Sus scrofa: one gene and its partners. The protein of the gene in region 2 interacts with the protein of the main gene of each other region in a pairwise test. Links are inferred from orthologs where the notes say so. Each region holds a gene or a part of one and is shown on either strand. Other genes may lie near its edges.

Evidence for each region.
Region 1: the proteins of L3MBTL2 (region 2) and TBC1D9B interact in binary tests that used the Homo sapiens proteins (3 or more experiments, as listed by UniProt). The two-hybrid records come from large-scale screens. The link is inferred for Sus scrofa from reciprocal best matches to the Homo sapiens genes L3MBTL2 and TBC1D9B.
Region 3: the proteins of L3MBTL2 (region 2) and MEAF6 interact in binary tests that used the Homo sapiens proteins (3 or more experiments, as listed by UniProt). The two-hybrid records come from large-scale screens. The link is inferred for Sus scrofa from reciprocal best matches to the Homo sapiens genes L3MBTL2 and MEAF6.
Region 4: the proteins of L3MBTL2 (region 2) and BEND7 interact in binary tests that used the Homo sapiens proteins (3 or more experiments, as listed by UniProt). The two-hybrid records come from large-scale screens. The link is inferred for Sus scrofa from reciprocal best matches to the Homo sapiens genes L3MBTL2 and BEND7.
Region 5: the proteins of L3MBTL2 (region 2) and STAC3 interact in binary tests that used the Homo sapiens proteins (3 or more experiments, as listed by UniProt). The two-hybrid records come from large-scale screens. The link is inferred for Sus scrofa from reciprocal best matches to the Homo sapiens genes L3MBTL2 and STAC3.
Region 6: the proteins of L3MBTL2 (region 2) and PHF10 interact in binary tests that used the Homo sapiens proteins (3 or more experiments, as listed by UniProt). The two-hybrid records come from large-scale screens. The link is inferred for Sus scrofa from reciprocal best matches to the Homo sapiens genes L3MBTL2 and PHF10.

The regions. Positions count from the first base shown.
Region 1 is NC_010444.4:78,710,367-78,713,866, reverse strand, and holds part of TBC1D9B (TBC1 domain family member 9B), read right to left. Parts: intron 3,463-3,500; coding exon 3,312-3,462; intron 2,826-3,311; coding exon 2,611-2,825; intron 586-2,610; coding exon 468-585; intron 1-467. UniProt on the Homo sapiens protein: May act as a GTPase-activating protein for Rab family protein(s).
Region 2 is NC_010447.5:7,260,634-7,264,133, forward strand, and holds part of L3MBTL2 (lethal(3)malignant brain tumor-like protein 2), read right to left. Parts: intron 2,711-3,500; coding exon 2,479-2,710; intron 2,113-2,478; coding exon 2,036-2,112; intron 1,858-2,035; coding exon 1,753-1,857; intron 1,105-1,752; coding exon 957-1,104; intron 598-956; coding exon 515-597; intron 300-514; coding exon 65-299; intron 1-64. UniProt on the Homo sapiens protein: Putative Polycomb group (PcG) protein. PcG proteins maintain the transcriptionally repressive state of genes, probably via a modification of chromatin, rendering it heritably changed in its expressibility.
Region 3 is NC_010448.4:93,586,183-93,590,205, forward strand, and holds the start of MEAF6 (chromatin modification-related protein MEAF6), read right to left. Parts: upstream 2,801-4,023; 5' UTR 2,800-2,800; coding exon 2,710-2,799; intron 1,463-2,709; exon of another isoform or gene 1,375-1,462; coding exon of another isoform or gene 1,366-1,374; intron 1,272-1,365; coding exon 1,156-1,271; intron 1-1,155.
Region 4 is NC_010452.4:48,257,594-48,261,088, forward strand, and holds part of BEND7 (BEN domain-containing protein 7), read left to right. Parts: intron 1-176; coding exon 177-328; 3' UTR 329-2,178; coding exon of another isoform or gene 2,179-2,192; 3' UTR 2,193-3,495.
Region 5 is NC_010447.5:22,548,508-22,550,919, forward strand, and holds the end of STAC3 (SH3 and cysteine-rich domain-containing protein 3), read right to left. Parts: intron 2,261-2,412; coding exon 2,194-2,260; intron 2,006-2,193; coding exon 1,956-2,005; intron 1,665-1,955; coding exon 1,579-1,664; intron 1,395-1,578; coding exon 1,343-1,394; intron 1,255-1,342; coding exon 1,117-1,254; intron 945-1,116; coding exon 846-944; 3' UTR 501-845; downstream 1-500. UniProt on the Homo sapiens protein: Required for normal excitation-contraction coupling in skeletal muscle and for normal muscle contraction in response to membrane depolarization. Required for normal Ca(2+) release from the sarcplasmic reticulum, which ultimately leads to muscle contraction.
Region 6 is NC_010443.5:573,898-577,213, reverse strand, and holds the end of PHF10 (PHD finger protein 10), read right to left. Parts: intron 2,334-3,316; coding exon 2,225-2,333; intron 1,957-2,224; coding exon 1,768-1,956; intron 1,497-1,767; exon of another isoform or gene 694-1,496; coding exon 608-693; 3' UTR 501-607; downstream 1-500. UniProt on the Homo sapiens protein: Involved in transcription activity regulation by chromatin remodeling. Belongs to the neural progenitors-specific chromatin remodeling complex (npBAF complex) and is required for the proliferation of neural progenitors.

The DNA of each region.
Region 1 (3,500 bases), on a different chromosome or scaffold from region 2:
CAGATGCAATTCTATAGGACCCCCAAAGTGGAAACCCCCAAGACAAAGAGTAGGGGAAGGACATTTTAGAATAATTGACTTAATTATAAATGTAATTAAACATATTTGCAAGCGCATTTCCATTTAATAACATGGATTCTACTAGCTGTGAGTTCACAACAGTTGATGGGGGGATGTACTCTTTAGCTGTGATGTTGGAAATAAAAACATTTAAGAAGAGTTGGGTCAATGTGAAGTCAGGCCCTAAGCTAGCTTCTCTGTCAGCAACTCCTAGAGAATCTGCATTAAGTCTGGGAGAGACGCTTGCTCTAGTCGTGCGCAGGTTTCACAGCTTCCTAAGCTCGGAGAGGGAGCTGTGACTGCCTGCAGCCTGGGGCCTCCAAGGGCTCACCCGTGGGACATGCTGAGCACAGGTCTGGCCCGGGGAGGCCCGCCACCCCAGCAAGCCGCCAGCCCCGGGCACTCACCCACCACCCTGGTGTTGTAGTAGTCGGGCAGCATGCGCTCACAGAGAGCCACCAGCAGCCAGAAGGCCTCCTCCTCGCTGCCATAGAGCAGGAGCACTGAGGTGACGATGTTCATGGCCTGTGGGCACAGAGACGGTGAGGGGTGCTCCCCGAGCCGTCCTCTCCCAAGAGGCCTGCTCGGCCTCGCTCTACAAGCAAGCCTGGCAACAACAAATCAGCCCGCCCCACTCCAGGCAATCTGCTAAAAAGCAATTTGCAGGAAATTTGATTTGGCAAAAACAGTCAGCCAAGTTCCTCAAACTGGACCAGAGGGCATCTGGACACTCAAGAAGGCAAGGCCCTTCTTCAGGGTGTCTGGGGTCGCGGGTGCAGAACAGGGCCAAGAGGCTGTGAGTGAGCTGTGTGTGCCAGCCACACAGCTTCAGGGTGGCCATGGCAAAGCAGAGCTTGCAGGAAAAAGCTTCCATGGTGGCAAATTATCCTAAAAATGATTTAGAGCCAGTACACTGGTTTTCCATGCTCTGGTAATATGTCCTACGGAAGGTGGTTTCTCTGAAATCCAGTCTGAAACAGTCAAAGGGAAAGAGAAAGCCATATGACCTGGCCAAGAAAATGCCCATTAGACTTAAAATCAAATGCCTCCAGAAACACAAATCAAGACTGCAATATCACCTCACACCACTATGATGGCTATTATCAAAAAAATGAGAAAATAGGAGTTACCGTCGTGGCTCAGTGGTTAACGAATCCGACTAGGAACCATGAGGTTGCGGGTTTGATCCCTGGCCTCGCTTATTGGGTTAAGGATCCAGTGTTGCTGTGAGCTGTGGTGTAGGCTACAGACGTGGCTGGGATCTGGTGTTGCTGTGGCTCTGGTATAGCTGAAGAGCTACAGCTCCAATTGGACCCCTAGCCTGGGAACCTCCATGTACCATGGGCGCAGCCCTAAAAAGACAAAAAGAAGAAAAAAAAAAAAAAAAGAGAGAGAAAACAATTGATGTGGGCGAGGGTGGGGAGAAACTAGAACCGCTGTGTGCACTCTGGGTGGGAATGTAAAACGGTGCAGCTCCTGTGGAAAATGCTATGACCATTCCTCAAAGAATTAAATATCCCATCACTATATGATCCAGCAATTCTACTTCTGGGTATAGGCCCCAAAGATCTGAAAGCAGGGCGTGGAGCAGATGCTGCACATGCATGCTCATAGCAGCATTACTCACAAGAGCCAAAAGGCGGAAGCAACCCAAGCAGCCACTGTTGATGAACTGATACACAAAGCATGGAGTATACATACAACGGAATCCTTAAGAAGGAAGGACATTCGGACACATGCTACACCATGGATGAACCTTGAGGTCATTTTGCCAATGAAATAAGCCAGTCACAAAAAGTCAAATGCTGTATGATGCTAATATCACAGAGGCAGAAAAGATAATGGTGGTTGCCAGGGGGAACTACGGGAGCTGGTTCATGGGTACAGTTTCTGTTCTGCAAGCTGAGTTCTAGAGATGGATGGTGGTGATGGTTGTACAACGATCTACTTAATGCTGCTGATCTATACACATAAAAGGATTAAGATGGTAAGTTTTGCTACGTGTATTTTTCTTTTTTTTTTTTGTCTTTTTGCCTTTTCTAGGGCCACTCCTGCGGCATATGAAGGTTCCTAGGCTAGGGGTCTAATTGGAGTTGTAGCTGCTGGCCTATGCCACAGCCACAGCAACGCCAGATACGAGCCATGTCAGTGACCTACACCACAGTTCACGGCAACACCGGATCCTTAACCCACTGAGCCAGGCCAGGGATCGAACCCGCAACCTCGTGGTTCCTAGTCGGATTCGTTAACCACTGAGCCACGATGGGAACTCCCTGTTATGTGTATTTTAACACACACATAAAACAAGCAGATGCCTTCGGGGCCCAGACCAAAAGCACATAGAAGACAACTTGATATATGGCATGGGGGTGAGGTGAGCAATGAACACTGCTCTTCATTTCATCTTTTTCTGTGGTCAGGACTGTCCTTGGGGAAGAGGGCACAACCAAAGGTGTGTGAGGTCATCACTCAGGCCCAGGGCCGTGGCAAGCTGCTCCTGTGAGCCTCTGATGGGAGGGGCTGCCTCTGGCCCCTGCCGAGCCCCTGTACCTGGCAGTAGCCGATGGTGGGGTTTCGGAAAGCGTAGGCGGTCAGCACCCGGCGGAGTGCAGCGATCCCCAGCTCGTTCTGGAAGGCGGGGTGCTCAGGCATGGAGCGGTGGAGGTCTCGCTCGATCTCCTCTGTGGCCAGGCTGTACTTCCCAGTGGACTTCTCCACCAGCTCAGCGTAGTAGCCAGGATGAGTCACCATCTCATTCCAGGCCCCTGTGCAGACACAGCTGGAAGCTGCCGCCCTCCCCATCCCCTTCCAGGACTTTGAGGACAACGACAGGGCAGGGTGGAGACATTGTCATGGCAACGAAGAAGGGAAGTGGCACTTTGGGGCCAGTTACAAGGTGCCAGGCAAAGCTTCCCCCATCACTGTCTTGGGAGGAGACACCCCACCCAAGTCTGAATGGCTGGCTTGCCCTTCTCCTCAAATCATCCGAGTGGCCAAGGGTAGGAATGTTGTTGGAGTCTGTCCCAAGGAAAAGAGGCCTCTGGGGGCCTGTCTGCCTCCCACTGCGGGGGGAGAGCACCATCCCTTGGCATCTGTTCCCTGCAACGCCCTTGCTGGCATGGGCCCACACTAGCCCCATCGCAGCTGAGAGCCCCATCTCTGCCCTGTACAGGCTGCCAGGGCCTGCCTGGCGACTCAAGAGGCCCAACTGGGGTCAGCCGAGTTCCCACATGGAGGCTGGGGCAGCTCACCAGAGAAGAGGAGCCACAGCTCCCCCCGCAGGCTCTCGGGGATGCCCTTCAGCACCAGCTCCCGCGTTCTGGCCGTGCGGTACATGCACATGCCGCGCCCGAACTCAAAGAAGTGGATGTTCCACGACTCCTCCTTCATCTTCTCCTTGGCCTGGGGGAACAGCACACAGGCACCCGTGGGTAAGTCCC
Region 2 (3,500 bases):
TGATTGGCAGGAAGGAAAAGGAAGAGCAAAGTCAAGAGCCGCTTAGGGCCGTGAGAGCCCAGACCTGTGGCCACGGGCGGCTGGAGCTGGTAGCCGGTGAGCTCACACCAGCCGACGGGGTAGATGTCCGGGGACTCGCAGTCCACCCACTGGTCGTACTCGCTGTCCCAGCCGTCGAAGTGGATGCTGAGGAGCCGATGCACCACCCGCTTCACGGTGGCCACACAGATGAGCCGGGGCTCCATCAGGTCCACGGCCTCCAGCTTCATGCCCACCTTGAAGCCGTGGTTGGGGCAGTCCTGGGGGAGGGAGCAGGGCAGGTTCCTCTGACCAGCGATCCCACCGCACTCTGTGCCCACACCACCCCCTGGGAAAGGGACCGGCTGAACTGCTCGGCTCGGGGCTGGCGTCGGAGTTTGCGGCCGGTCTCAGCAGCACAGACTCAAGGAAAGGAGTGGGAACAGGTAGGGCCGTCCCAAGGCCACCCCGGGCCCCTGCCTCCTGGTCCCCTCACCATGTTGAAGAGTCTCGATGGCGCCGCTTTCGCCTTGGTCGTCTCCAAGTAGGTCTCCCAGCTGAAAGTGTGAGCCTCGTACCCTGGAGCAGTGGAAAGTCCGGCTGAGGGCCGAAGGGGAGCCGGAGAGAGTTCCGCCAAGCCCCCCATGGCCAAGGGCGCCCACAGCTCGGTCAGGATCCAGCCCGGAGTCTCTGCAGGAGCCTTCTCCCTCCTCCCCTGGCTGGTACCTGCTAGGACCTGGTTCTGTCCTACAGGTGGTTGACTGCTCACCGAGCCACGTACCAGCCATGGGGCGAGCCAGCCCAGACCAAGGGCTGGTGGTGACCTCGGGTAGCTCTGTCACCTCTCCAGTCCTCAGGCAGCTCAAGCTCCAAGGTCTAGCAGGGTCTAGCAAGGCCAGGAATCAGGGCCTCCCCCTGCCCCTTCCGGCTCGTCTTACCTTTCGGGGGTGTAAGCTCGATGTCGTTCTTCTGGCAGAAGGTGGCTGGGAAGATGGCGTGGGAAGAGGCGTGGTAGCAGAACCAGTCCGAGCCGTCTGTGGAGGGCCCCCCGTCCACACAGATCATCAGGTAGCCGTCCAGGAGCACCTAGTGGGCGGTGGGGAGGGGGCGGGGCAGACAGAACACGGCCTCCTGAGCTGCACCCCCGGCCCAGGGCAATGGGGCCACGAGGCGGGTGGATCCACCTGGAGCCAGTTCTCAGCCGTCCCTGAGCCACTTCAGAGCACTGAGCACTCGTGCAGCCCGTAATCGTGGGATCTCTGGGCTTCCTCACTAGACAGCAAATGCTGTGCCAGCAGGAACGCCATCTGCCCTTTGGTCACTGGGTTCTCGGGGTGAGCACATGGGCCCAGCCTGGAGACGTGCTGGATGGACAATCGGCATGTCCCCCAGTTTGCTCCCCAGGCAGCGGTGGCAAGGTCTGCAGCAAAGCCAGCCAGCTGCGGCTTTTGGCCAGGCCAGCACTCAAAAGAGATGGCAGGTCTTGGCAGGAAGGCCCCCAGCGAGGGGACAGAGCCAGGCTCAGGCCAGGGCTTCAATCAGCACCTGTCCAGCCTGGCTCTGACCGCAACTTGAGAGCAGATGCTGAGTGAGGAGCTAAGGCTCCACTCAGAAAAAGCAGGTGCCAAAGAGCAGCCAGTACCAGGAAGACGGGATGGACACTGCGTGCCGAGTTCTGCCACCCCCGTGCCCGCAGGAAGCCAGGCGGGAGGCGGGGGCCTGCCCCAAGCTCACCTTGCAGATGGTTGCCACACAGATGTTGCCCAAATTCAGGGGGTCAATGGCCTCTAGCTTCATCCCCTCCTCAAACCAACCGCCTTCCGTGTAGACGGCTCGAACCTAAAAGGAACGGGGCAGCTGGGGAAACTCCGGGCTGGCCCAGGCGATGGGGGGAAGCAGGCCATGGTGTGCCATCGGCCTGGAAGGAAGCGAGGGGGCAGGAACATGCCAGGGAGGAGGCTGCAGGCCCGGGGTGGACGTGCAGCCAAGGGGAACGCGCCTGAGGGCTGGGCCTCACCTTCTTGAACAGGTAAGGAACAGCGTCACAGTAGATCTTCCGGAAGGTGGGGTGGTGGGCCATGTCGCTGCGCCTCTCTTTTAGGGAGACGACAGATGGGGAAGAGAGAAGTGAAGCTGCTACCAGGGCCACCTCCACGCCTCCCCCAGAAGTGTGGGGCCGCCTTGCCCAGGCTCTAATCCGTATCTTCGCGCCACCCCAGCACTAGGAGGCGGAAGGCCCAGGGCCTCTCTCTGGAGGGGGATTCAGCCCTTAAGACCCGGACTCTTCTCTTCCCACTTGACGTGGGAGAGGATGGGGCCTGTAGCCTCTGGTTTCAATCAGTTTTTATGCTTCAAGCCAAGTGGCCTTGGTCAAGTCCCTCGACCTCTTGGGACCCCTGGTCAAGCACGGCCACCCGCAAGGCACACAGTCACCCCACCGCTCAGCCAGACCCACGTTACCTGACAGCTTGATGCCGTGCCCGACACGCCGTGACCAACCCACAGGGTGGATCAGGGGGCTCCACATGTGGCACCAGAAGTCATCGTCGCTGTCGCCATCCTCGTAGAGGAGCCGTAGGCGACCCCCGATGACCGTGTCCACCACAGCCATGCGGGTCCGCGACACCTGGGACTTGTCCACCACCTCGAGCCGCATGCCCTGCCGGAAGGGGTACTTCATGCTCTCCACCATCTGCAACGACAGCACCAGCCTGCCGTGGCCACGCGGCCTCTCCCTGCTCCGTCTCTTCAAAGAAGCCAGAGGACGGGGCGGGTGCGGCGGAGGCGCCCCAAAGCCCAGGTCAGGAGGCAGGCAGGTGAGCCCTCCTGTCCCCAGGTTCAGCCCTGGCTCCAAGTCCCTAGGGTGACACTGATGACGTGATGGTCACGACGTGTGCGGGTAAGTCACGGTGACGGGACTTACAGTCACTTTCCAGACAAAGGAAACAGGGACCCAGGGAGGCGGGACTTCCTCAGAGTCGCACAGGCTCGCGGGTAGCAGAGCTGGGCTCCAAGGGCTCCAGCCTCGTGCTCTTTCGGGGACCTGCGCTCTGGTCACACGGGTACCCCACGTCCCCTCTACCTTCCGGCCCCCAGCTGATGGCGCACAGGCCTCGGGGTTAGAGAACCGAGCGCCCTTTGCCTCCGTACATCTAATTTCAGCTCCGGCCCGCTGAGCAGTGGCTCTGAACAGCTTCCACAGTGCCTCAGTCAGGATGCCACGTCTCTGACACTGCAAAAGACAGATGCCCACGAGCTGCTGCCCTGGGGGGACCCCTGGGGAGGAGCTGGAGATTCTGGAGGCTTTGGTGCTGTCCTGCCGGGGGTAGGGGATGGGTGACTAAGCTTTGTGGGGCTTTTCCAGCACCAGGGCGCTGCAGGCTCAGGTGTGGGGACTGAGCCGTGCTTTTCCAAATCCCCCCAGAAGGTCACAAAGCAGCCACCAGGACAGGGATCCTTCAGCCCTCAGCTCAAGGGCGGGA
Region 3 (4,023 bases), on a different chromosome or scaffold from region 2:
TGCTTTAGCAAATAATTATAATATGTATAATTATCATATATATAATATAAATGTATAAATACATATTTCATATATGTACGGAAGAGGAGATATAACTAACTACAAAGGAGTAGCACGAGAGAGCTCTTCGTGGTGAGAGAATAGTTCTGTATCTTGACTGCAGTGGTGGTTACAGGAATCTATAGACATGATAAAATGACAGAACTACATATACACATTGTACCAGTGTCAATTTCCTGCTTTTGCTATTGTACTATATGGTTATGTAAAACCCAACCACTGGGGAAAACTGGGGGAAGGGTACATGGGACCTCTCTTACTATTTTTGCAACTTCCTATGTGTCAATTTAAAAAAAAAAAAAAAAAACTTAAGCATAGAAATAGTGGTGTGTGTTACTATATATTAAGAGGGAGAAAGAAGAGAGAGAAAGCAAATGTGGCAACAAGTTAACAATTGCTGAATGCTGGTAAGGGGTATCAAGAGATCAACTAGTCTTTCAAGTACTCTGCAGATTTGAGAAATTTCCAAAAAGTTTAGCAAGTTTAAAAAAATTTTTAGGAGTTCCCGTGTGGCTCAGTGGTTAACAAATCTGACTCCGATCCATGAGGATGCAGGTTCAATCCCTGGCCTCGCTCAGTGGGTTAAGGATCAGGCATTTCTGTGAGCTGTAGGGTAGGTCACAGGAGTGGTTCAGATCCTGTGTTGCTATGGCTGTGGTGCAGGCCAGCAGCTACAGCTCTGATTGAACCCCTAGCCTGGGAACCTCCATATGCTGCAGGTGCGGCCCTAAAAAGAAAAAAAAAAAATTTTTTTTTTAGAAAGAATATTACTAAATGAAACTGTGATACAGTTGCCACACAGGTATAGCAAATCTTGGGACTCATGACATGACAGGAGTGTATTACATGCTGTATTTCATTGAAGCATTGCACAACCCTGTGCCATTGGCGGGACTTCTCCGACTGTGTGGGGCTGGTGTAGAGTTTATCTGGGATTACCCAGGAGTGGCTGAGCCAGAGTCCAAGCTCAAATGCAGACCTCTTTCCACCCCACTTTACTACTGCCTCCCTGCAAAGCCACTACCAAGAAATTACCCAGTCCTAAGCACAAATATTACAAGGACATCATACAAATACTACAGGCTTGACACTCACTTTTGGTTGGTCAGATACCGATCCCAGCCACGAATAATATTGCCATACATCTGAGTGTCTTCCAGGTAGCTTCCTTCAAAAGCATAGATCTGTCTCTCTAAGTTTGCCAGTGTTTCCTGAGTGACGAAAAATAAGGAAGTGGTTAATACCTTTTACATGCTTGCATTAAGCCTAACCAAAATGAACTTTTTTTTTTTTTAAGGGCCACACCTGAGGCATTTGGAAGTTCCCAGGCTAGGGGTCGAATCAGAGTTACAGCCGCTGTCCTACGCCACAGCAACTCAGGATTCCAGCCGAAGTCTGCAACCTACACCACAGCTCAGGCAACACCGGATCCTTAACCCACGGAGTGAGGCCAGGGATCCAACCCGCATCCTAATGGTACTAGTCAGATTCGTTTCCGCTGAGCCGCGACAGGAACTCCCAAATTGAAGTCTATATCAGACTTATAAATTCAAGCTCAACTACACCAAACCAGCCTTGCGGAGGGAGGAATGACACGGGCAGGGGCAGGGTGTTTCACACTAAGGCAGTCTATACCTGTCTTGTATCCCTTGAGGACAGAATGGAATAGAGAGAGCCTGTCCCCAGAAAAATGTACAAAAGTTTGTATATACTCAGAGGCTTCGTGGAAACCCAGCTGTCAAGAACCCGGGCGGAGGAAAAAAAAGAGCAGTCTCCACTCCCACGCATAAAAGGTACTGCTACCAGGAGAGGGAAGGGTAAGCAGCCTTCCAGCGCCAACTGGCTCCCCTCCCCGTAGGCTCCGAAAGGCCGCCAGCACTGGGCTGCCGGTTGCTATGGAAACCTGGAAGGGCAGCTTCAGGTGAGATGGGCCTCCCGGTGCCCAAGCCAAAACGCGAGGGGAGGGAGGGCTTAGCCGCCACGGTCCAAGGGACCCGGGCTGCGTGTCACAATTCTTAATTCCCTAACCGAGTCCGCTCCCCTCGCCTGTCACCTCCTAAGATGTTCCCAAACACATCACATCCCTGCCCATCAAAAACCCCATCTAACGGATCTACTCCTAGTCCCCAAAAGGACGAGACCCTCCATCCTCCAAAGACCAGGCAGGATGTGTGAGTGTCCCTCCCACACTCGCCTCCTACCCCACCACCCCACCTAAAGCCCACCAGCAAGCCCGGACCAATCTACAGCCCACCGATCCGCCCGCCCCGCACTCCTTAAAGATCATGGACCCGCTCGCCCTCGCCTACCCCGCAGAGCTCACGGTTACTCGCTTTAGCAGGGCTGCAGCACAGAAGCCCCCACCCCCTGGCGCCATCCTTCCTCCACGCCCCCGCCCGCCTAGTCCCCCTCCCCCTCCCCGGCTCCGCGCCCCGCCCCCAGCCCAGGCTCCCGGCTCCGGATCTGCACCGCCTGGAAGCCGAGGCGCCGGCGGGCCGCGCACTGCGCAGCCGTCCTCAGGCCGCCGGACTCCCGGGCGCCGCGCTGCGCCCACCGAGTAACGAACCGCCCGGCGCGGCGGAGCCGGGGTCTGGAGGCAGGGGCAGGCACGGGGTCCCCACCCGGGCGCCCCCCGGTGCTAGCCCTCACCGCCAGCTCCTGCTTCCGCTTCACGAGCTCTGCCAGCTCCCGCCGGGTGTCCGGGATCTGCGGCGGCGCCGCCTTGTTGTGCATCGCCATGTTGGGCTGAGGCGGGCGGCAGCGGCGCCAGGCTGGGGGCGGTCCTAGCGCGCCGCCGCCCGCCAGGGGGCGCCCGCCTCTGCACTGCGCCTGCGCAGGCGACTTCCGGAGGGGAGCCCCGCCGCGCAGAACTCCCGCGCGCGCGCGCGTGCGCGCGCCCTGCCAAAAGAACCCCACTGATGGGTTCTGCTTTTGGTCCTAACCGCGTTTCTACACCGCAAATTCACCGTGTCCAAAATCAGACTTATCCGCAGTCTCCTCAGTGAATGACTTTCACTGTCCACCGAATTGCCCAGGTCGGAAACCTGGGTACCATCCTCACCCTCCTTCACCCCCTTAATCCAATCCAAAACCAATTCCTGTGGACTCGACCGCAGAAGAGCCCGCAAATTATTTTCTTTTGTCTGCCACCTCCTTCGTTCATCCAGGCCCTCCCTATTTTAGGTACATTATTCCAGGAGCTCCCGTTTCCACTCTTAGCTCCATTTAATCCATTATTCACAGTGGTGCCAGGATGATTTGTTTGGGGAAAACAAATGTGTTACTCCCCTGCTTAAAACCTTTCAAAGACTTCCCGTTGCCCTTTAGAGAGACAAACATGTGTGGTGGTTAATGACACAAACTAACTACCTAGTTCAAAATTCTACCTCTACCATTGATAAGCTGTCCCACCCTGGGCAGGTAACTCAATTTCACTTGGCTCAATTTCCTCCTCTATAAAATGGAAGTAATAATAGCTCCTACCTAATACAATTTCCATAAGGAATTAATCACTTAAGGTAAGTGCTTGGCAAGTAAGCACTACTTAAGTCAAATCATTAAGCCTGATATTGTTAACTTTGTTTTCATCTCCCCCCTGTTTATTTCTCCTCTCCATTTTTCAGGGTTCTGCAATTTCATTAGAAATCCAGGTAGGATTTTTTTTTTCCATTTTGCTTGCTTGCTTGCCTGCTTTCCTTCTTTCTTGCTTTCTTTTTGCTTTGCTTTGAAAGTCTCTGTGTTTCTTCAGTCTGTGTATTTGTACTTTCACCAGTTCTGGGAAATTCAGCTATCTTTCCTAGGATATCCTCTACCTCAGTTTCTCTCTCCTTCTAGAATTCAGATTAAATTTAAGAATCCTTTTTTTTTTCTCTCTCTACTGCATTCTGTTACATGTTGATCTTGTAACCCAGGGTCTCGCTGAACTCTCTTATTGATTCTAGGTTTTTTGGTAGATTCTGTGGG
Region 4 (3,495 bases), on a different chromosome or scaffold from region 2:
TATTTCGTTTAAATAATGGTACTAAAACCTGTAATGGGAACCAGCTGAAGCCAAGAAGGGAAAAGAAAGGTGAAAACTATTATGTACACTGGAGTTTTTAAATTGTATTACTGTATTCGGTAAAATGAATGTGCTCCCTGAAACTAATGAGATTTGTGTTTTATGTTTGTAACCAGCAGAGGTAGCTGACGGTGATGAAAGGCTGGACGGCGTTTCTCTACCCCCAACAGGTAAAACACATTTCCATTTTCATCACCCGCTGGAAAATACAGCACGTGAAAATATTTGCATTGAAAATGTTTTTAACATCAGAGATGCAGATGCTTGAGCAAACTGCTTCTATAAGAGACCCAGCCCCAGCAATCAGGGTGTTCAATGCCCTGCGTTCAGAGGGATTTTTCACATTGAATATGAAAAGCCACGGCTTTCTCACATTCTGTTTCATCTCCTTGAAAACCTGAGAGCAGCAAGTCCTGACAACTTAGTGTCACCCCAATTTGCCTCCCCAAACCTTGGGACATTAAAAATTTTTTTTTTGGTCTTTTGTCCTTTCAGGGTCGCACCCGCGGCATATGAAGGTTCCCAGGCTAGGGGTCTAATCAGAGCTGTAGCCACCGGCCTACACCACAGCCACAGCAGCACCAGATCCGAGCCATGTCTGCAACCTTCACCACAGGTCATGGCCACGCCGGATCCTTCACCCACTGAGCGAGGCCAGGGATCGAACCAAAACCTCATGGTTCCTAGTCGGATTCGTTTCCTCTGTGCCACGATGGGAACTCCAAAAAAAAAAAAAAAAAAAAAAAAAAAAAAATTTAACACGAACTGATATTTCTCTTTAGATTAGGGATCATCGGTTTTATGATGAAATTCGTGTCCCTTCTGTCATCTCCCACCTCCCCTCAAAAGGCTTTGAGAAGCAGTGTCATTGCTTTTCATGTAACAGGCACCCAGTGAATCCTGTGTTTCGAGTGACTGAATAAGCCAGCTAGCATGGGTGGCACTCCTAGCCATGTAACCGGATGAGCCGAATATAGCATTTCACTGAAACCTCTGCTGCAGGGGTAACACCATGCCCTGAATACTCACTTCCTAATATTTGACTCTCAAGTAATACTTCTGACCCTGGTCCCCTGCCTCAGCATCAGCTCCCACCGGAGCACCTGATGGCCAGGTGTCTGATCAGTGAGCCATGTGACAAAGAGTTTATGCCCTCAGTCTCAAAAGGTCTTTATTGACTGTCCTCAAAATACCTGAAGATTCTTGTAACAGCAAAACCCAGATGCCCCCCTCCAAAAAAAAAAAAAAAAACCTGGAATGAAAAAACTGTGTTTTTTCTCCACTTGAGGTGGTAAGTTTTAAATTAAATCCAGCAAGTATTAAAGGAGTCGCTAGTCTGTGTAGGAACTCTGCGAGGGCACGTGTTATTGCCAGTACTTATCCTGAGTTCATAGTGTGAGACAGGCATTGTTAGTGAACTTCAGACCAGCCAGAAAACTCAGCCTTGCAAATGATAACCGTGCTTTCTCTGTCGCTGAGTAGCTAAGCAGCAGATCGATGGGCAAATAAATGAAATGAGCCACAGAGGGCAAAAGCAACCTGCTTCTATCAAGTTCTTACTGTACAGGCATTACAGAAATTACAGAAAAGGGGCTTCTCTTCTTGTTCAGCTGTTTCCACACTTCTGAACCGAGAGAACTGAAATGCATGATCTCTATTGTTCCTTCCCAACCTGCCCTCCTCTGAATTATCAGGACCACTCTTAGCCTTGATCTTATCACCCACTCCCAGTCATTGCATGAAAGGCTGCTGCTAATGATGAACTTGTGCCTTCCAGGCTGGAGGGATACCTTGCTGGTCTAGTTGTATTTTCCCAGGTTCCTCCCCTGCCAGCCCCGTTGACCCCAGGGCATTTGCACAGCCTGGGCTGCCATCTGACACAGTGGGCTTGTAAACGGTACTGTTAATTGGAAAACCCCACCCCTTGAAGTAATAATACATTTGCCTCTTCCTGTCTGAGGATGGAAGCAGAGAGATGTTTCAGATAAGGAACTCGAGCACAGGATGATAGAACTACCTCACGGAAGTGAAAAGAATGTCAAGGACTCCGAGAAAGAAGGAACATTAGAGATCATCTAGTCCCGTCCCCTCTTTTTATCCAGTCCTTTTATTTTACAGGTAAAAAAGCCTGAGGCCCAGAAACACTAAATGACTTTCTCAAGGTCTCACAGCTGGTTGGTGGCCAGGCCGGAGCCCAGGCCTCTCAACTCCCAGCCGTTCCACCGCGTAGCTTTCTTACACCTTCTCTGCATGTTTCCCAAAGATCCCAAGAGTTGCTGGATGTTCTTGCTCATCCCTTTAGGGTTCCATTTCAGTGTCTCCCCGTCGTCATGGATAGTCTGTCGTAAGTCGGCCCGAAGTTGCCTGCAGTGTCAGCCCACAGGCTCTCCCTCAGATCTGACCCACGGCTGTGAGGCCCTACCCAAAGCAGGAGGAGGCCGCCCCCGAAGGTCTTTTCACTGGACCCCTGATAGATATTTGATCCGAGTCACTAAACGGCATGATAAATAAAACCACTTAGCATTTCAACATGGAGAAGAGAAGGCGTGGAGTGGTGCCCAAATTTTGCAGTAATGGCTTGAAGTAATCTTGACCATCCTGTCTCTGGAGTGCCTCTCAAGTGAGAATCCCGCTCTGGGGGCTTTGAATACAGCACTGTGACTGAGTCCTCCCTCCTTACGTGCGTCCTAGGAGACCCTCCGCAGCACGAATGTCACCTTTCTCACACATGCAGCTTCCTCTCTGGATTTGAGACTTACTGGCCAGGCCGTCCTCATCTGGTCTGAGCCGGCACCCACCGGTCCTTTTTAAGGATTTAGCAATGCCTTTATTACCTTGTCAAGGTCTTTTTCCTCTCCTTCTAAACTCGTGTGTGTTGAGGAGGGGTGGGACAGGTGTAGGAATCCCCCAGTGTTTCTGTGAACCAGAATCAGCCAGGTCAAGGTTACAGTCAGGCATCAGATGACATTTACCTCAATCCATGGCGCTTAAGCGATTTTCTATTTGTCTAGTTTTATCAAAAATGGATATAAATTTCATAGTGGAAAAATACATCTTCTTCTATTTCTTTTCCCTCAACCCTGTCAGTAAGTGCACTTGAGCAAGGCCAGGACTCCGTCCTGACTGAGTTAGGTTCTGGTGAACAAAAGCCGCCCTCAGACCAGAGCAAGGCAGAGGCCACCACCCAGGGTGGGGAGACAGCGCTCAGATAAAGGAAAAAAACATCCAGGGTGAAGGGCAGAATTTGGGAGGGTGGGGAGAGTACAGAGAAGAAAGTCAAAATAGTGGTATCTAAAATTTTGAAAAGCGGCTTCTGAATGTGAAGTAGAATAGTGCAGAGCGCACCTAGGCTTAGGTTTTTGTTTGTTTTTGGTCATCAATTTGTTTTCTTTTACATACGTTTTAGAAATTAATATAGAAAAGTGGAAGGAAGAA
Region 5 (2,412 bases), about 15 Mb from region 2:
CCGGCCTCGCTCGCTCAGTTCCCGGAGGACAAGAGGAAGTGTTGCCATGGAGACGGCACGCACCCCACCCCCTCCCAGGCCCAGGGTCTCTGGCTTGGTGTCTCCAGTTCTCGCTTCTCCCCCCGCCCCTCCCGTCCCTCGCACTCCAACCGAGATCTTGTATCGCCCCCTGGCGGCCCAGCTCGGAACTGCGCCAGGTTCGGAAATGAAAGGGGCTGCCAGAGGCTTAAATCGCTCGTTAAGAGTAGGGGGGCACCTACCTTGCTACAGGATCCTGCTCCTCGCGGCTCAGAAGCAGTGACACCAGTCCGGCACCGTTTTCTTCACTGACCGAGGCCTTGCCTGGCGGACGCACCCGTCTCCCCACCTCGCACCAGCCTCAGCCCAGGCGGGTCTAATTACCCAATGGTAATTAGCTGAGACGGCTGGAGAAGATTCTCCGCCCCTTTGTGGGCCCTCTCCTTTCTCCCCTCGGCTCCCAGTTAAACAGCAAACTTTTCTAACTTCTGTCAAAACTTTAATAAATTCGCAACATTGGACACTTCGCCTCAACCCCCCTCTCCTCGGGACGCCTCCGAGTGGAGATGCCTTCTTTTTCCAGCTCTCAAAGGCTGGGCTTGAGGGGTTGCGGGTGAGGCTGCTCCAGGCACCAAGTCTGCGACGCCCTCCGAGGGGGAGGGGGGCGGGAACCAGTCCCTTCCCAGAAGCCCCGTCACGTTCCGGCGGGCCTTCCCACCTCTCCCCCACCCAGCGGTAAAGTTGCTTTCGCCCCTTCTCTTCCCAACCTCCACTGGGCCTGCCCATAGTGGGGTTTGGGTATCTCCCGCCAGCAGGCGTCTGCAAGCCTAAATCTCCTCTAGAAAGTCGGTGGGGAACAGCCCCATCTTGCGGCCGGTGTAGACCTTGACGTAGCCGCCGGCTTCATCTCCTTTCTGCACCACAATCTAAAGGATGAAAGGATGAGAAGGGAGGAATCAAGAGAAAACAGAAGAGCTGAGGGGGGAGTTCTGAGTTTTGGAGGCCCGATCTAGTCCCATTAATGGGTGAAGATCTGCAAAGAAGATGGTTTGCAGAGAAGCCTCTGCGCCTGGGGTTGAGTTGGGGCACCAGAGCTACCTGGTCCTTCTTGAGAGTGATCTGCCCTATCTCGCGGTTCCCCACGAAGGATCTTGTTACACGGTGCACTCGCTCTCCAGACCGGACCCGAATGATGAAATTTGGAGGGAAAAATCCAACCTTCTCCCCTATCTTCCCCTAGAGGACATGGTAAGCAGAATCAATCTCACAATCTCAAGTCCTAACTTAACCCATGTCCCACCTGAGACTCAGCCACTTCTCTTACCCGCCACCACTCCTCATTGGAGTCATCAATGACGGTGATCTTCTCTCCAGGCCTGGGAGAGGAAGGAAGAAGCCTCTGAGATTTAGGGGCCTTATACATCTAGTCCCTTGGCTGTGCCCAGGTCCAGCCCCAAATAGGCTCCAAACCCTGAATCCCCCCTTTTCCTTTCCCATAGGGAGCTGGGCTCTCCCCTCTCCACTCCCAGTACACCCCACCCCGATCCTAAGGCCTCTCACGGGAAATCCAGATCGTCCTTCTCCAGGGCTTTGAACCGATAGAGAGCCACAAAGTAATGAGACTGCTGGAAGCCAGGCTGCTTGTGCTGGGGGTGAAAGGGGGTGATGAGTCTCAGAGCTCCTCTGTCCCACACTGAGGGGCAGGAGGCCAAGACAAGGGCATTTGCTAGACACACTACATTCCAACTCTCCTCCATGTCCCTGAACTAAGAGGAATTTATTGGTTTGCGTGTGTGAGGTGGTGGAGAAGGCAGGTTAAGGGTGATTGGGAACCCATGGAATAAATGTGAGCTTCTGCTAAGGCCATGAGTGGTGTCAGACCTGGGTTGGGGAGAGGACTGGGGTCCACATAGGGAGAAAGATTCTCAGATTCTCACTTTGTCATCAGGTGTCTTCTTTTCAGCTTTCTTATCTCCTTCAGGGTTTCCTGGAATGGGAAACACCAACAAATTGTCTCTGGCTCCTGGAGGTAGCCCTCAATCTCTTATCCTTCTATTCCAGGGACTCTTTTCTCAAACCTGAGATGCCCTTTGCCCGCCCCCCGCCCCCAATCCCTTGTGGCACAGCTGAGCCTCAACACTCCTCCATCTCTGGATGGAGGCAGGTGTCACTCACCATCCTGGGGTTTGCCTTCCTCTGGTCTGGCAGACTCTGGCTCCTCTTCCATCATAGCTGCTAGAGGCTGGAGGGGGCACCAGAGTTAGGAAGATGCTGTCTTGGAAACCCATGCTTGCTCTGACTCTACAGTCAGGCCAGAGAACTACAGAATAGTATCTTAGGGTTGGAAGAAGCCTTAGGGGAAATATCTAGTCAACCATCTGCCAAATGCAGGGA
Region 6 (3,316 bases), on a different chromosome or scaffold from region 2:
AGTGCTTCCAAGAGTTACCAAAAGCAAGTTACCAAAAGCAAGTCTGAAGTGCAGGGACTAAAGTCCCGCCCTGCACCCCAAATAGGGACAGCACCTCCTAGCCTAACAGCATTTCCTGGTAGGCAGGTTCCAGTGCTAGGTAATGACAGTTCTAAACCCAGCTGCACCAGATCTCATCAGCTCCTTGGCAGTTTTACCATCTTGGGTTCCTATTAAAATTCTTCCGTTATTAATTAACTTTGCTGTGCTATCCATGGTGGACCAGAAAGGATATAGATTAGGAAAATTTCATGAAATGAATAGCAACTTTGAGGCTAATGAACAAATAGTTAAGTATTTCAAATTAAGCTGCCTAATACCAAGACTGAATTTATGGAGGGAGCCAAAGTAGAAAGAAAGAAAGACTTTTTGGAAGATGGAACCATCTCTCTCTCTACCTGAAACTGGTTTCAGGAATTAGTTTGTAGAAATAAATCAACTTGCAGATTTTAAGCACACAGTTAATTTCAAAGAAAAATCTTTTATTGGCATAAAAATGAGAATGTTGTAAATAAACTGGCACCAGGTATTTCATTTAAATGCGTGTTACAGAACTGGGGTCAAAAAACTACCCCTCTTTGCTGTTTTTCCCCCTTCTGCCCACTTTCCTGGGTGTTGGGGGGGCTCGCTGACAACAGTCACAAATCCAGCGACCTAGGAAGAAAATTGTTAGTTAATACAGAATGAATTTCACTTTTTAGGACTAACTTTTAAACCCATTTAGCTCCTTCCTTTAGCCTTGGCTGCTGACAGTAATCCTCAGGGGACGTGTGGTGGGACAGGCACTAATGAGCTCGTTAATTTAAGGAGAAAAATGTCAACTCCCTCTGAGATAATCCATGTCTTCAGGCCCCGGGAAGTGCACGGGGTAGGGGCGGGGGGCCATGGGAGGAAGGAAGGAATGACAGGGGCCTTTAAAAACTTACTATAACCCTTTCTGAAACTTAAACGCTATCATACGCTAAAAAGTTTGATCATACAAACCCTAACATCAACCCTGACCCTGAGTTTGGCTTATTTTCAAGCCTCTGCTGCTGCTCAGTGGCAGCTGTGTGTCTGCAGCCTCCTGGCAAGTCCTGGTGTACGATGCTGACACAGCACTTTAAATGTGGTCACGGTGCTGTAATGCAGCGGGCAACACCCTCCATCAGAACTGCTACAGGACTCTGAATAGTTCCTAAGCTGTTTGCATCTCAGTGACTCCCAGGAAACCTAGTTCTAGGCATACATTTTATAAAGTATTAGGCAGTGTAAACTATGCAAATAAGTTCTAAAATTACACAATTGTGTGTGTAATGTTCAGTCCAATTACTGTGGTTTATTCTTTGATTCTGTGTTCATTCTGAAGTTAGGCTGCCTCAATCTATAGAAATCTGGTTGAATATGTTTAAAGGTATAGTCATTTTTGTTAAGTCTCTAAGTGACATGTAAAAATAAAATCAAGGCTTTGAAACAAACGGATGGTACTGCTTCAGCTCTTTCGGTAGAAAAATGCTGTTCATTCTGTATACTGAGCTCTACTTCCAGAACATGTAGGCAGCCTGGTAGCTCACTGGATCTGCAGTCAGCCTGTCTAGGAGTGAGAAGCAGGGGACATGATGACAGCTTTGGTCCCATGTGAACAGAAGGGTCTTGACGGTGCTTATGCTGTGGCCTCAAAAAGAAAAAGAAAAAGAAAGCGCCAGGCGAGCCCCTTCGCTCAAGGCCCACGTCCCGTCTCCTCTTTACCTGACGGCGGAGCGCCCAGGCCCACACAGAAGGTGTGGTGGCCTCTGTCACACACGTCACAGCACATCATCTCTTCCTCGTGGTGCGGCTGCCCACACACGGCGCAAGTTTTGCACTCCATGCACTGCCACGGGTAGGTCTTAATCACAGAAACAAGCTCCACGCTCATGTCCAGGCAAGAAGGGTGGCCTAAACCAAAACCAGGGTTAGTCGGGTCTCACACGCCAAGCTCCAGCTTCACTGGGCAGGACAAGATGCGCGTCTGCTTGGGTGTCTCAAGAACGGCTCCCGTGTTTAGTTGCCAAAGAGACAGGGAGCCCTCATCACCGTGCAGAAGGTGGTACGTGGCTCTCTTTATGCACGGGATGACTCTGGTGCAAGGCTAGCTGACAGCTAAGAATCTAGATTCTGAAACATCCCACCGGCGGTTAGGAGGCGAGGCCGCGTCAGTACTTACCACTGCTGTCACACTGGGAGCAGTGCACAAGGGGCTCAGCCTTCCCTCTCTTGTTGGACTCCTTACCCCTCAGACAAATTCCACATAGAGCATTTGGAATGGCCTTTGGCTGGAAGGGTAGAAGAGGGCTATAAATTCACGCCAGAAGAACTTACTGTGGGTTCAACAGGAATTATTACAGCGTTGGCTCGTCCCTACTTCTGGTAACTTGCCAGGGAGGCCCTCTTGGAAAGACAGAACCTGACATGAATCAGCTTATGGCCTACTGACTACAGCCTTAGGTTTACTTCCTTTTTAAATGTTGTCTGTGGTATGATCTCAGCACTAAATTTAACATCCTGCACTCCCTGGGCGCCCAGTAAGACCTGTGTAATGAGCTGGAAGGAAAGACCAACACGATGCAAAGTGCACGACGAACTGAAGGGCAAGTCCAAGTCCGAGGGAGCAGCAGGTCAAGGCAGTCAGGCTTGTTCCCAAAGACTGTTCTAAGCAGCTTATATGCCGACTTTGTTTAAAAACGGATGTTCCCCAGAGTTGTAAGACTAGATCTACAGAGTCCAAGTTCGAAAATCAACGTTTTAACGTTTTTAATTGAAGGCTGTCTCATGCGTACACTGTCATGTGCAGAAATGTTTATGGAAAACCGAGTTGTGTGGTTATTCCCTTGGCACATCTGACACCTTCGTACAAGTGCCTACACTTAGGGAAAAAGCATTCGCTACGACATACAAGACGGAAAAGAGAAACGCGGTTTTCAGATAAGCAGAATAATAAAATTCTCACTTAAAAAACAGGCAGACACCCCTATATTTTAAGCACTGTTCATTTTTCAGATTAAAAACATGCACAATCCAATGAAGGCATTTGGACTTTAAGAAACACTTGGAAACACACGGAAAAGAACACAGAAGAGGTTCCCTGAACCGAAAACTCGGGGGGGGGGGGGATATTCGAACATCGGCCTTGACCGTCAGAGCATCTTCACGCAGCCACGTGGGTGTGGAACAGCGGAGGAAAGGGGAGCAAGCAGGGCCGCATACGAAAGGGGGGCCAGGGCCAGCCTCGTTCGTGTAGAAAGACTGGGAGAAAAAG